3 linked regions of the Canis lupus familiaris genome follow. The protein of the gene in region 1 interacts with the protein of each later gene in a pairwise test. Links are inferred from orthologs where the notes say so. Each region holds a gene or a part of one and is shown on either strand. Other genes may lie near its edges.

Evidence for each region. The genes of interacting proteins can lie anywhere in the genome.
Region 2: the proteins of MAPK3 (region 1) and DHPS interact in binary tests that used the Homo sapiens proteins (3 or more experiments, as listed by UniProt). The link is inferred for Canis lupus familiaris from reciprocal best matches to the Homo sapiens genes MAPK3 and DHPS.
Region 3: the proteins of MAPK3 (region 1) and DCC interact in a two-hybrid assay, tested with the Homo sapiens proteins (2 studies listed by BioGRID). The link is inferred for Canis lupus familiaris from reciprocal best matches to the Homo sapiens genes MAPK3 and DCC.

Annotation. Positions count from the first base shown.
Region 1 is NC_049227.1:18,278,803-18,283,014, reverse strand, and holds the start of MAPK3 (mitogen-activated protein kinase 3), read left to right. Parts: upstream 1-1,412; 5' UTR 1,413-1,426; coding exon 1,427-1,599; intron 1,600-2,613; coding exon 2,614-2,796; intron 2,797-4,212.
Region 2 is NC_049241.1:49,833,041-49,837,291, reverse strand, and holds the start of DHPS (deoxyhypusine synthase), read right to left. Parts: upstream 2,801-4,251; coding exon 2,594-2,800; exon of another isoform or gene 2,552-2,593; intron 2,494-2,551; exon of another isoform or gene 2,381-2,493; coding exon of another isoform or gene 2,341-2,380; intron 2,255-2,340; exon of another isoform or gene 2,120-2,254; intron 1,985-2,119; coding exon 1,820-1,984; intron 1,585-1,819; coding exon 1,463-1,584; intron 1,380-1,462; coding exon 1,283-1,379; intron 1,208-1,282; coding exon 1,121-1,207; intron 733-1,120; coding exon 627-732; intron 548-626; coding exon 444-547; coding exon of another isoform or gene 426-443; intron 1-425. UniProt on the Homo sapiens protein: Catalyzes the NAD-dependent oxidative cleavage of spermidine and the subsequent transfer of the butylamine moiety of spermidine to the epsilon-amino group of a critical lysine residue of the eIF-5A precursor protein to form the intermediate deoxyhypusine residue.
Region 3 is NC_049222.1:22,991,098-22,995,114, forward strand, and holds the start of DCC (netrin receptor DCC), read right to left. Parts: upstream 2,801-4,017; 5' UTR 2,757-2,800; coding exon 2,666-2,756; intron 1-2,665. UniProt on the Homo sapiens protein: Receptor for netrin required for axon guidance. Mediates axon attraction of neuronal growth cones in the developing nervous system upon ligand binding. Its association with UNC5 proteins may trigger signaling for axon repulsion.

The DNA.
Region 1 (4,212 bases):
ATCTAATTATGAGCAATTTCAGAATCATAATTACTGTTCCATTTGGTCTCTTGATCTGTAATGCACATAAGGATCTACTCTTAGCTTCTAAGGGATTATAAAACAAACAAACAAACAAAACCCAACGTGGTTACTTACTGAAGGCTAGGAGATGTGTTTTGTGAAGCGTCCAGCTCACAGCTTCTCTGTGAAGTGAGGGGAATGGACTGGATGGCCTCGGAGGGCCCTTTCCTGGGTTTTAACAGGCTCTGATTCTGGGAGATTGAATGGAATTGAAAAGAGCCTCTGCCTCTGTGTCAAAAGATATCATTTTAAGTCTCAACTCCCCATCCATACAATTTGATTTATCCAGTCAAAAATCTTTGAACGTCTGAGCGTCAGGTACAGGGGAGGATACAGTAATGAGCAAGACAGACATGGCCCCTGCTCATCCTGTTAAGAAAATCGGAGGACACCTATAATGTGCGGTTGTCCTATGGAAGAAACCCAGCTGGTCCAAGTATGGTGTAAACTACAAAATCTTGCATCCCATCAAAAGATGGTGATCCTGCCAGGATTCCAGTTTCACCAAGTCCAATGACAACAAAATCGTCACCTATTTTGCTGTTTTTTGAGAGAAGCCTGATAGTGTATTTTAACCAAACCTGGTCAACACTGCAGGCAGCTTTCCCGCCCTTCTGTTGCAGTTCCACCTAAATGGGCTGAGGTTATGGGTGCTCACTTCCAGCACTGTACTGTCGCTGGCAAGAGGCCAAGCCCCTAGTCCACTCTCGCAGGCCTGTCAGAAACCCATTAGGCTGAGTCTGGACCTGCGGGTTCTCGGTGGCTCCAAGTCACCAGCCTCGGCCCCTCATCTGTGAAAGGCAGGCCGTATCTGCGAAGAAGCCATCTCCCACGCTACTGGGAAATGCGGATGCGGCCGTGTGTCGTCGGGCCGAGCCTCGCTCGGAGGCCACACTCCAGAGGGCTGGGGAGGGCCCCCTTGGGGCTCCATCTCGAGCCCCGGGCCGCGACTCGGTTGGCAGCAGAGCTGGCGGGGCCAGGCGACTCGGTCCCGGCCCCAGCTCCCGCACCCGCTTGCTGGGTGGCTCCGGGAAGGTCACCTGGCGGCCCTGCCGGCTATAGCCTGCATTCGGCGGGAGGGGTGCACCGTCTCCCGGCCGCCGCGCTCGTCCCTACGGGCTGCCAGCAGCAGACGGAGCGGCCGGGCACCGGGGACCCGGGCAGCAGCCGAGGGCGCCCGGGAGCGCGCGGGGGTCACGTGGGGCGCGCGGGGGCGCGCGGGGGCGCGCGGGGGCGGGGCCTGGCGCACGCGGCTCAGCCGGCGGCGGGGCGCGGGGCGCGGGGCGCGGGGCGGGCGGGAAGGGGCGGGGCCTCGGGCGGGGCCGCCGGGGGGAGGCGGGGAGGCGGGAGGGGAGGAGTGGAGATGGCGGCGGCGGCGGCGGCTCAGGGGGGCGGGGGCGGGGAGCCCCGGGGAGCCGATGGGGTCGGCCCGGGGGTCTCGGGGGAGGTGGAGGTGGTGAAGGGGCAGCCGTTCGACGTGGGCCCGCGCTACACGGAGCTGCACTACATCGGCGAGGGCGCGTACGGCATGGTCAGGTGAGGGGGCGTTCCGGAGGAGGGGGCTCGTGGGGGGGCGCGCGCGAGGGTGAGTGCCCTCGGGCCGGGGCGCTCCCAGGGTCCCGAGGAGGCGGGGGCTTCACGAGGCCGGCGGGGCGTCCCACGGCGCGGCCCTGGGGTGCTCTGGGGGAGCGGCGCCGCCTACGTTCTAAGGGGAGGGGGCTTGGGAGGCCTCAGGAGCGACCATTCTGTAGTGAAGGGAGGGGCATCGGAGTGTCCGCGGGGGAGCCGTGGGGGGACCCTGGGGACTCTGTGGACGCGGGAGGAGGCGGAGACACGAAGTATTCTTGGGGAGGTGATATCAGTGAGGACCGAGTGAAGGACCCTACTCTGGGGAAAGGATGCCTTGGATTCTCCCAGTGAGGCCTGCCAAGGAGCTGGGGAGAGCAGAGCTCAGGGCTGGGCAGGGTGGGGCAGGGCTTTGGGCCTGGGGCCAGGAGCCCGGTGACCCATGAGGGGTCCAGGGGTGCGTTCTTGCAACTTTTAGAAGGGGTCTGTTAGCTCTCTCGTCCCCACTGTGTGCTCTGGGCCTTTGTTCATCTGGGAACAGCTCTCCTGCCCAGGTGCCTGACCCTAACACCTCATCCCTTCTTTCCCATCCCTCCTGACCGCCTCCTTCTCACTGTGCCTCACTGTGCGTCCTGCACTCACCTCCCACTCCCTGGACCTGTCTTGGGTTGAAGGAGCCCAGCCTGGAGAGGGGAGGATGAGAGGTCAGGGCAACTAGAATGGACAGGGCTGAGGAGAGGGGAAGTCAGTGAACGGTCAGTCTCTTCCTCTGTTTGTGAAGTCACCGAAGGGCTGCCTGGCTGGTCCCCAGCTTTCTCCCTGGAGATCCCAGGCCTTCACAGCAGGAAGGAACCAGCATTGTTTATGACTTGGCCAGAGTCCTCTCATGCTCCCTCCCCTCCCTGCTCAGGCCTGGGTAGGGCCACCAGGCCTGGACTCCCCCTATGTAAGGCCACACCAACAACATCTCTCTGACCCTCTCAGCTCAGCTTACGACCACGTGCGCAAGGTTCGCGTGGCCATCAAGAAAATCAGCCCCTTTGAGCATCAGACCTACTGCCAGCGCACACTGAGGGAGATCCAGATCTTGCTGCGCTTCCGCCATGAGAACGTCATTGGCATTCGGGACATTCTGCGGGCGCCCACCCTGGACGCCATGAGGGATGTGTATCCTTCACCTTGGCCAGATGGCTGGCTAGGCATAGCCTCAGAGCCGGGCTGGGAGAACGTTGGCTTTCTTTCTGTTTCCTTCTTTCCTGCCACACTCCAAAACAAACCCAGCAAATGAAACTTTCCAGCAGAAAAGAGACCACAGAGTGTAAGAGGACTGGGAGGCCTGAGGTGAATCCTGGCCTGCTGTAACCAGGCTGTGTGGCCTTGGGCAAGTCTGTGCTCCATGCTGTGCCTCATTTGGGGGGAGGGTGAGAGTTGGGCTCTATGGGAGCTTTGTCTTTTGACATCTGCATTTCTGTGACGTGACCCAGCCTCTGCCCACAGACAGTTCTTGTTTAACAGATGATGATTCTTTCCTCTCTGGGTCTGCAGACTGGAAGGAAGGCAGGAAGGAAGAAAACTGCCCGTTCTGAAGGGCCTACTATGAGTGAGGTGCAGTGCACGCCAAATGCTTTGACACTTCTTATTCTACCTCCCAGCTGCTGTATGAGATGGGTCTCATCAGCTCCATTTCAAAGATGAGAAAACTGAGGCTCAGAAAGCCCCAAATCAGGTGCTGCTGTTGCTGCCTCCTAACCTCCCCCAGATGAGAACTGTCCTTTCTCTGACATTTCCTGCTCAGAGCCTCACCCCAGTCACCTGTGGACTTGCACTTCGCCCAGGGAGGGACAGCCTTGTCTTTGTTGCCCTCCCCCCCCCACATTGCTTCCCTAGCTTGTCGTCCACTTCCTGTCAGGCCCTGTTGTTAGCAGCTTATAGCACCCATCACCTCTCCCCACCCTACCCACCCCCAGCCAGTCCCAGTTCTCCACCCAAATGTGGGGATTTGTGCTGCACTGTCTGCAGCCCCCACCACAAGCTGTGGGCAGGAAATCTCCACACTCGCCACTAGCTTGCTGTGTGACCTTAAGCAAGTCACTGCATCTTGCTGGGCCTCCTCACCTCTCAAACAGCATAATCGGCCCAGGTGTCTTCAGAAGGCTCTTTCAAGGCTGATTCTAAAAGACAGCCCTGACTTATTCTTTCAGAGAGCAACCAAATGGCATTTATTTATTTATTTATTTATTTACTTAACGTATGTTTAATCTTTGTTTTCTCTTAAAATACCAAAGGACATTTACTCTTCCATCTTCTGATGTATGGCCAGGCACTCTTTGAGGAGGAGCATGCTGTTGGGAGTTTCTCCTCATTTGTCTTGCCCAAACCATTCCCCATAAGGCAGGCATTTATTTTTAAGCAAACATTTATTGCATGCCAGATGGTGTTCACACTATCTCATTTAACCCTCTCAACAGCCATGTGGCTTAGGCATTTATCATAGCAACACTAGTTCATGTTTGCTGAGCACTTACAACATGCTAGGCTCTGGACTGGGCCGGCTGGTTTCCATGGGTCACCTCACTGAGTCTT
Region 2 (4,251 bases), on another chromosome or scaffold:
TATAGAGGCCAGGGTGCACCTATAAGCACCCAACTGGCAGCCCTAGAGGCCAGGCTCCTGCTGCTAATTGTCTCGGTCCCCTTCACTGGCCTGCTAACTGTCCCTTGATTTAATTCAGGCACCTCAGAGCCTTTGCACTGGCTGTTTTCTGTTTACAGGCTGTCTTTCCCAGAACTTCCCTTTTCTGAACAGCACTCCTTTCTTTTTCTCTTGCACTTGTCATCCCTCATTTTTTTTCCCACAGCAGCTAACTGCCCCGTGACATGCACATCACTTGCTTGCCACCTATCTCCCTGACTAGAACATCAGTCCAGGAGGACAGGGATCCTGGCCTATCTAGTCTACAGTTGTTGCCCTGGCACATGGCGTAGGCTTAGCACAGGTCTGTATGGCAAGCCCGAGTGCCACCCTCACTAGGAACCGGCTACTGTGTCCCCACTCACCATGAGGTTGGCATTGGCGATGTGGTGCTTGACCACACCCCCGCCCAGGATGATCATCCCAGTGCGCTTGGCAAAGATGGCCTGTGTGTTGATGAGTCGCAGGTCTGGGAGAAGAGCATTGTGGTCAGGCAGTGGACACAGCCACCCTACCTCCCCTGCTCCTCTGTGGCCCTAGCACCTCACCCTCAACAATGTCCAGGACCAGGCCTGGGTTCTTGTAGGAATGGAAGAAGATCATGTCGCCCAAGGAGCCATCTGTGAGCGCTGGGCTCAACACGGGGATGTGGTTCTAGGGAACAGCAAGATGAGAGCAACAAGCTCAGAGCCCAGCAGAGGCAGACTGGCCCCCATCCCAGTGGCATCCCCTCCTCTCTGCCTGATTCTAGGCAGGATGCTTACTAAGTTCTCTAGGCCTTAGCTTCTTCAACTGTAAAATGGAGACTGCAACAGCATCTCCATCACAGATGAAGCATATGTGATGAAACCAGACAAAACCAGTGGAGAATGGTAGCTCTCATTACTCCCACTGCTGGACCGCAGCGTCAGACAAACTAACATCTGTGTTGGCTTCCTCACCTAAGAGTGGAGATGATGAAATGGTTCTCCAGGTGGCTATGAAGGTGAAACAAGCTAACATGTGCCAAGGCCTGGTACCCTTGCCCTACCTAGTCCCTCACCTTCTGGGCCCAGTAATACACTGATTCTGGGTTGTTGATCTCCTTGCCCAGTCGGGCAATCATCTTGGAAGGTGTCCACTTCACACCCTAGGAGGAGACATTGACTTCAGCCAGCAGGGCCGCCTCAGTTCCACACCGACCCCCAGGGTGCTCCTGCCCCACCTCTGTGTTCTGCTCCAGCACCATTTGGTCCAGAATGGGCATCAACCAGTCCTCAAACTTGCAGTAATTGTCATTGGGCACCAGTAGGTTTCCAATCCTGCGGAACATGAGGCATGTGGGCATCGGGCCCCAGGATCCTCAGCCCAGCTCCCTTGCCCAGCATCACTCAGGGCCCCGAACCTGTTGATCCCGTTCTCACGTAGCTCCTTCCCCCTGAGACTGAAATCGCCCAGGTACGTGGGTGCCAGGCACTTGATAAAATCTTCCTCCACACCGCCAGCTGTGGTCACTAAGACGTCCACCTGCAGCCACAAATCAGGTTGGCCCAGGAAGAGGGGCCCTGCCGTCATGCCAGGTAGGGCTCCTCATTCCCAACACTAATCCAGTGACCCTTGGGAAAATCTCTACTGCAAAATAAAAGTAGATCCTGTTCCTCCGCTTAAAACAATCCTGTCTCCCTGTCATTTAAGTGGCCAATAATTTTTATTGCCCATAAGACCTAGAGAGGCCAAGTCCACAACCCCGCCAGGTACCCACCATGTTGTGCTGCACGAGGTAACGGATGGTCTCACGGATGCCTGAACTGATGAGATTGGATGTGTAGCCCAGAAAAATGGTGCAGCCAGTAAGTGGGCGGCGGCTCTGGGTCAGGTCTGCATGCTGGTCTTCATCCTGCGACAGCGGCTCTAGTTTCTTCTCTATCTAGGTGTAAGGGCAGAGTCAAGTTACCCTCTGGCCCCAAACTCTAGCCCGAGGGCTCCAAGTGGGTTTCAGGATCAGACTCCAGCCCCGGGGCCTGCCCACTCAGGAATAAGGAAACACTTCTACTTGGAATACCTGAAGCCAAGGAACGAACGCCCCCTGCGCAGGCTCGGCCCCATTCACCGCCCAAATCTCAAGGCACGCGCTCAGGTTTTATTCCCCTTTCAAGGAACTGGAGAGCACTACCTCTGCAGGCCTGGTCACTTTCCCCTTTGGAAAAAGCAAATCTGAGCCCAGACCCCGCCCTGACTGAGGCTCCTCCTCAACCGCACCGTTCAGAACACTTCACTCCTTACCTACAACCCGCCTCCTATCTAGCATCAGTCCCAACCTCATCCTGATGGTAGGATGCTATGGAGATGGGGAGGCACAAGGTCCTCTCCCCAGCACGGAAACCGCTGCCCAGAATGGACCCTGCCTCTCTCCACCTATTGGGCCGCCCGACAAAGGGCACGCCTCCTTCTCAAGGGAGCCCCGCCCCCCAGTACCGCATTGCCGCTACTGGAGGCCACACCCCCTCAACCCAGGAAGTTCCGCCCCAGGCTTCACCATGGCGTTGACTTGCTGCACTGCGCGCCCGAAGTTGGTGGCCTGGAAGCCAGTGGTGCCGAAGGCCTCCAGTAGCGCACGGTAGTCCACGCCGCGGCTGAAGTCGTAGCCTCGGACTTGGGAGCTCTCGGAGGGCAGCGCCGAGCTATGCTTCAGCACAGCGGCCAGCGCCGCCGCGGGTGCCTTCCCTTCCGGAAGACCCTCCATGCTCCCGCGGCCGCACTCTCAGATCACAGCCGCCCAGACCAGGCCTCCAGCGGCCTCGAAACGCACTAAGCCCCGGCACGCGCTTCTATATGACAGTGCAGGAAGTAGGGCTCTGGAAAACCTGCAGAAGGGGACGGGAAGTTGCTCAGTCACGTGACTCTTTGAGCCCCACAATCCAGGGCGCGGCCATGTTTGCGCATGCGTTTCCGTAATATGGAAGCCGCGAGGAGCCGTTATTGCCTGTTTCGCGTCTTGTCAGCCCGAGATGAATGAAGAGTCCTGCTTTCACTGCCGCCTGCTGGAGACCCACCGCGTTGCGCGGCGCTTTCCCATTCGTTTCTGTCCCTTTGGGAAGGAGGATGGCTTCTTAGACGTCGCCCTAGGACAGGATTCGAGTCATCAGGAAATGTCAGATAATTTCTGGCCCTGAGCGTCTCTCATCAAATGGTGTAGTGATCGCTGTCCGTACCAGAGCCTCCACATGCTGCGTAACCCTCTGGTCTTCCCCTGGTAGTTGCGGCCGTCACTTCTGGGAAGCCTTCCCTGACCGTCCTCTGGGTAAGGGACCTCCTCTGGGATCCAGGGCTGACCTCTCTTTCCCTCCAGCAAGACTGTGAGACCCTCGAAGGTGAGGTCTGTATCTCATGGGTCCTCCTAGCCCTGCATAGGGTTTGGTCCAGGGGGAATCTTTTAACCAGGCACTTTATAATTTATGGAGTCTATACCATACGTTGGGCTCTGTGTTTGGCGACTCAGATTTATCAGTGAACAAGATGCAGACCCTGCCCTCCTGGAGTCCATAGTTTGATTGGGGAGCTAGTAAAGCTAACCACAATAGTGATTAGTGCTATTGAGGATTCAAACATGATGTGTTTTTGAGGTAGGGGTGGTTGAAGGGGTTGATGGCCTTATTTGCAGGGACAGGTGGTTAGGGAAGGACACCAAGGAGGTGACATTTGAGCCAAGGCCAGAAAGCCAAGAAAGGCCCCATATGTGCAGATTTGGGGAGGCCTTTCCCCCACCATCCCCCAATGGGAAAGAGAACTGCCAGTGCAAAAGTCCTGAGGTCAGAGATTAGCCCACTTAACTGGAGGAAGAGAACATCCTCCCTGACATTTTTGACAGTCCCCACTTGGATCTCAAACTCACCACCTCAGCTCCCACTCCACTTAACGCTGATCTCCCTGCAGTCTTCCACATCTCATCAAAAAGCCCTCAACTCAGCAAATAAGCCCTCCATGCACCTAGTAGACCCAACACTGGAGAACTGAGCTTGACCTCTCTCCTTTGTTCTCACCCATCCCTCAGCACCTCCGCCAAGTTCTGCCCACAAAATAGGTCCCAATTCCAGGTGCCTTTTTATTATTATTGAGATAAAATTAACATATTCTATTAGTTTTAGATGTACAACATTCTGATTGGGTATTTGTATCCAGATGCTTCTCTCCATT
Region 3 (4,017 bases), on another chromosome or scaffold:
TCCCCAAATCTCTTGTCAAGGTTCCCATTTCTGAGAAAACCAGTCTACAGGCCCCCAAATACCCTCTACGCCAGGAGAGGCTTTCAGCAGAGCTTCACTGAGGAATTTAGGGAAGATTAAAGCTCTCATCTTCAATGAAAACAACAGGGAAGTTTGCTGGAGGTTAACTTGCCAGAGAATAAATGCAAGTGCTGCGCACTGAGTTCTAGACCCCCCGCCCCCCCAAAAGGTGCCCATCAGCAGCTCAAGGCAGCCCAGCTTGCAGGAGCTGTAAAGCACGTGCCCTGGGCCCAACACTCACCCAGAACACACGTGGTGGCCGGTCCACGGGCTTCCTAGGTCGCAGGGGAACTGCTGCTGCTGTGACAGGTCGCGGGTGAGGGGTGCTGGCCCAGCCCCAGGGGACTGGACACCGGGCCACCCTGCTCCCCGCAATGGAAGTCCCAGGGGGGCATCTGCTCTGCTGGGGCTCAGGGGTGAGGAGGGGTGGGGCTGGGGGCAGCGAGGCCTCATCGGACTAAGTCCAAACCACACAAACCCCCATATGGGTTTTTTGGTCCAGAGAATGTGACCCAGACAGGCACACCTTAAACTAACCCGCACTCGGTAACGGCCAGCATCCAGAAGTTTCCTCTCCCCCGAGATCCCCACACTCTACTTGGAGCTTGCGGCTCCCCTGGAATCCACCTAAGGCCACCTGAAGGCCACCACCGTCCTCCAGCACCTAGTGCTCGCCCCTAGGTGCCCTCTTGTGGGTCACAGGCCTCATCAACCGTGCAGCAGGGTGGGGCTTGGCCCGGGAGGCGGGAGGCACCCGGCGCCCGTGCTAGGGCCCAGGCTAGGGCCGCAGTGCCCGAGGTGCTGCGCGGGGACGGGCCGGCCAGGCAGGTGGCGCCCGGGGGTGACCCCACCCGAGAAGCCACCAGGCAGGGAAGCGGGGGGGCCTGAGTCAGCGCCCAGCCCCGGAGCAGCCCCGGGGAAAGGGGGGTCCCCCGCAGCCGCCCAGGGCGCCCCTGCCAAGGCCGCTGGCTCCCCAAGACGAAGCCAAAGTGAAGCCGGGACAGCGCGGCGGCCCCGCCCTGCGAGTGCGGAAACTTGGGTAAATGGAACTTGGAGCTCAGCACCCCGCAGCCGCCCCAGGCCGCGGTCACCCCGCTACGGCTCCGCGGCACTTGGGCGTCCCCACGACCCGCGCCGTCCAGTTGCTCCCCAAGGACCCGCGTCTCCCTCCCCGGGCGCCGCGCCCCTGCCCCGCCTCTGGGTCCCCGCCTGGAGGGAGCCTCAGGGTGCGCGGGGCCCTGCGCACCTTCAGGGGGAGGAGGAGGGAGGGGGAGAGGGACAGGGAGGGGAGAGGGGCAGGGAGGGAGGGGGGAGAGGGAAGGAGAGAGGGGGAGAGGAGGAGAGGAGGGGGAGAGGGAGGGAGAGAGAGACAGGGAGGGAGGGAGGGAGGGAGGGAGGGAGGGAGGGAGGAGGAGGGGGGAGGGACAGGGAGGGACCTGGAGGGGGGGAGAGAGGGGGAGAGGGGGAGAGGGAGGGAGGGCGAGGGGGGAGAGGGACAGGGAGGGACCTGGAGAGGGAGGGAGGGGGAGAGAGGGAGAGAGGGGGAGGGAGGGGGAGGGGGCCGGGCTGCCTGTCGCGCAGATGCGGCTGGAGGCGCGTCCACACACTCGCGGCTCCCGCTGGCGCGCCGGGTCCGGCCACACCACAGGCGGGCGCACACACGCGCACACACGCGCACACACGCGCACATGGACACACACATGCACACACGCACATGCACTGACACACGCGCACACGCAGCCCTCCCTGTCGGGCTCTGCCGCTCCGCCGGCCACAGGAGGCCGAGAGTCCCGTCGGCGTGGAGCCCGGACTGGGGGCCCCGCGCTGCCCGAGCCCCGCGCCCCGAGAGGCGCTTCTTCGGCGGCTTCGGGGGTCGGGGCCGGGGGTCGGGGTCCGCGGTCCGCAGCCCGGGCCGGCGCGGTCCGCGCGGTGCACCCACGGCCCCCGAGCCCGCGCCCGGCCCCAGGCGCTCTCCGGGGGGACGCGCGGGGCCTCGCCGCTCTCCCCGCGCCCCGCGCCCCGCGCCCCGCGCCCCGGGGGTGGCGCCCTGACCCCTGCGCTGCCCCTCCCGGCCGGGAGACCCGGATCGCGCCCCGGGGCCGGCGCGTGTGTCCAGCAGCTGCGCCGCCGAGCGTCAGGGCCCCCGGAGTTTGCAAGTATCCCGGGGACGCGGGGGCGCTCCGCTCGGTGCCCGGCGCCGCGGCGACCAGACCCCGGCACAGGACCCGCCTGCCCCCGGCCCCGGCCCCCGGCCCCCGAGCCCCGGCCCCCCGGCCCCGCCGCCGGGCGCAGACAGCAGCCGCACGCGCGCCGGAGCCCGCGGACCACCGGCCGCCCCCGCCCCGGGCTTCCCCGGAGCGCCCCGACGCCGCCCCCCCGCCCGCTCCCCCGGCCGCCGCTCCCCTCCGTGGCTCCGGGCTCCGGGGCGCAGCCGGGTCCCCGCAGCCGCAGCCGCAGCCCCGCCGCCCGCCCGCAGCGCCGCGCACCAACTCCGCGCCCCGCGCCCCGCGCCCCGCGCCCGGCCCCGGGGACGCCGAGTCCTCCGGCCGCTCAGCAGCCGCGGGCGCGGGGCCGGGCGCGGGGAGAAGAAAGGAAGGACCCTTACCGGCGGCTCGCGGGGGCGCGCTGAGCAGGGTCGCGGCGAGGAGCACAAAAGCCAGCCCGGGGGCCCGGACGCGGCCGGCGCTCGTCTCCATGCTTCAGCCACAGCTTCGGGGCCGAGGTCCGGGGCCGCGGCGGCGCTCACACTCATGCACCCGGCCCCGCGCGCACACATGCACACTCGCGCCGAGCCCCTCGGCCGCCGCCGCCTCCTCCTCCTCCTCCTCCTCCTCCTCCTCCTCCTCCTCCTCCTCCACCGCCCCTGCGCCTCCTCTGCCTCCTCGCGCGTCCGCCCGCAGGCTCAGCAGCCGGAGCGCGCAGCCAAAAGTTGCATCCGGTGCCGAGGCGCCGAGCTCGGTGCAGCCTCGGAAAGTCCCTGGGGAGCCGGCGCGGGGCTGCGGGTCCGGGGGTGTGCGCGGGGGCGAGGCCGCCCGGTCCGCCGCGAAGTTTCCGGGGAAGGACCGGCCCGGGCGCCCCCGAGAGCCCGGGCCCGAGCGCCGAGAGGCGGGTGGCTCACTGGCCGCGGGGCCGCCGAGCCCGAGGAGCGCGGGGCTGCCGGGGAGGCGGGGCCGGGGGGGGCGCGGCCCGCAGCTGCCGCGCGCGCGGGTGTCGGCGAGCAGGGATGCCCTCTGTGGGCCGCGCGCGGGAAGGGAAGCACCTGCGGCCGCCCAGCCCCGGGGCCCCAGCGCCCGCCGCCCCCGCGGAGCCCGTGCTGCGCCCGGGAGGCCCGGCAGGTGCAGGGGGGCCCGGGGGGTGCAGGGGGCCCGGGGTCCTGGGGGGCCCTGCGCCCTCCTCTGCCCGCCCGCCTTCCGCGCAAGAGAATCCTTCCAGCTGCAAAGAATCCCCAACCCCAGCTCCCCATCCCCGGGACACGGGGGGAAACTGAGGCTCCGGAGCACGCAGACGGGGCCCGGCCACGACCGCTGGGGCCTCCCGGGTCTCCCCGACCCTCGCCCGTGGGCTCGGCTGGGCGCCCCCCAAGCTCCCTGGAGGCCCCTGTCCCCCAGGGCTGTCGGTCCCCTTGGAAGAGGGACAGAAACAGGTAATTGCAAGAGCCCTACGATGGGCCACCTGACCGGGCGGGGGTGCCCTCCCCGGAAATGGTTTCAAGCCCACGGCCTTGGCGCATCTGCGCTCCCTTGCAGGGCCTCAAGCCCGTGGCTCCCTCACCACGAGTGTGCAATGCCACACACCACACTCGCTCACGGGCTTTTGCTGAATAAGTGAACTTACAAATGAATGAATTCGCTGAGGAAGGATGAGGAGAGAAACGCATCCCCGGTAAAGCTCAGCTACAGGTTCTCCCCAGTCCCAGGTCTCCCCAGGACTCCTGAGGACCCCCACATCTCCCAAAAG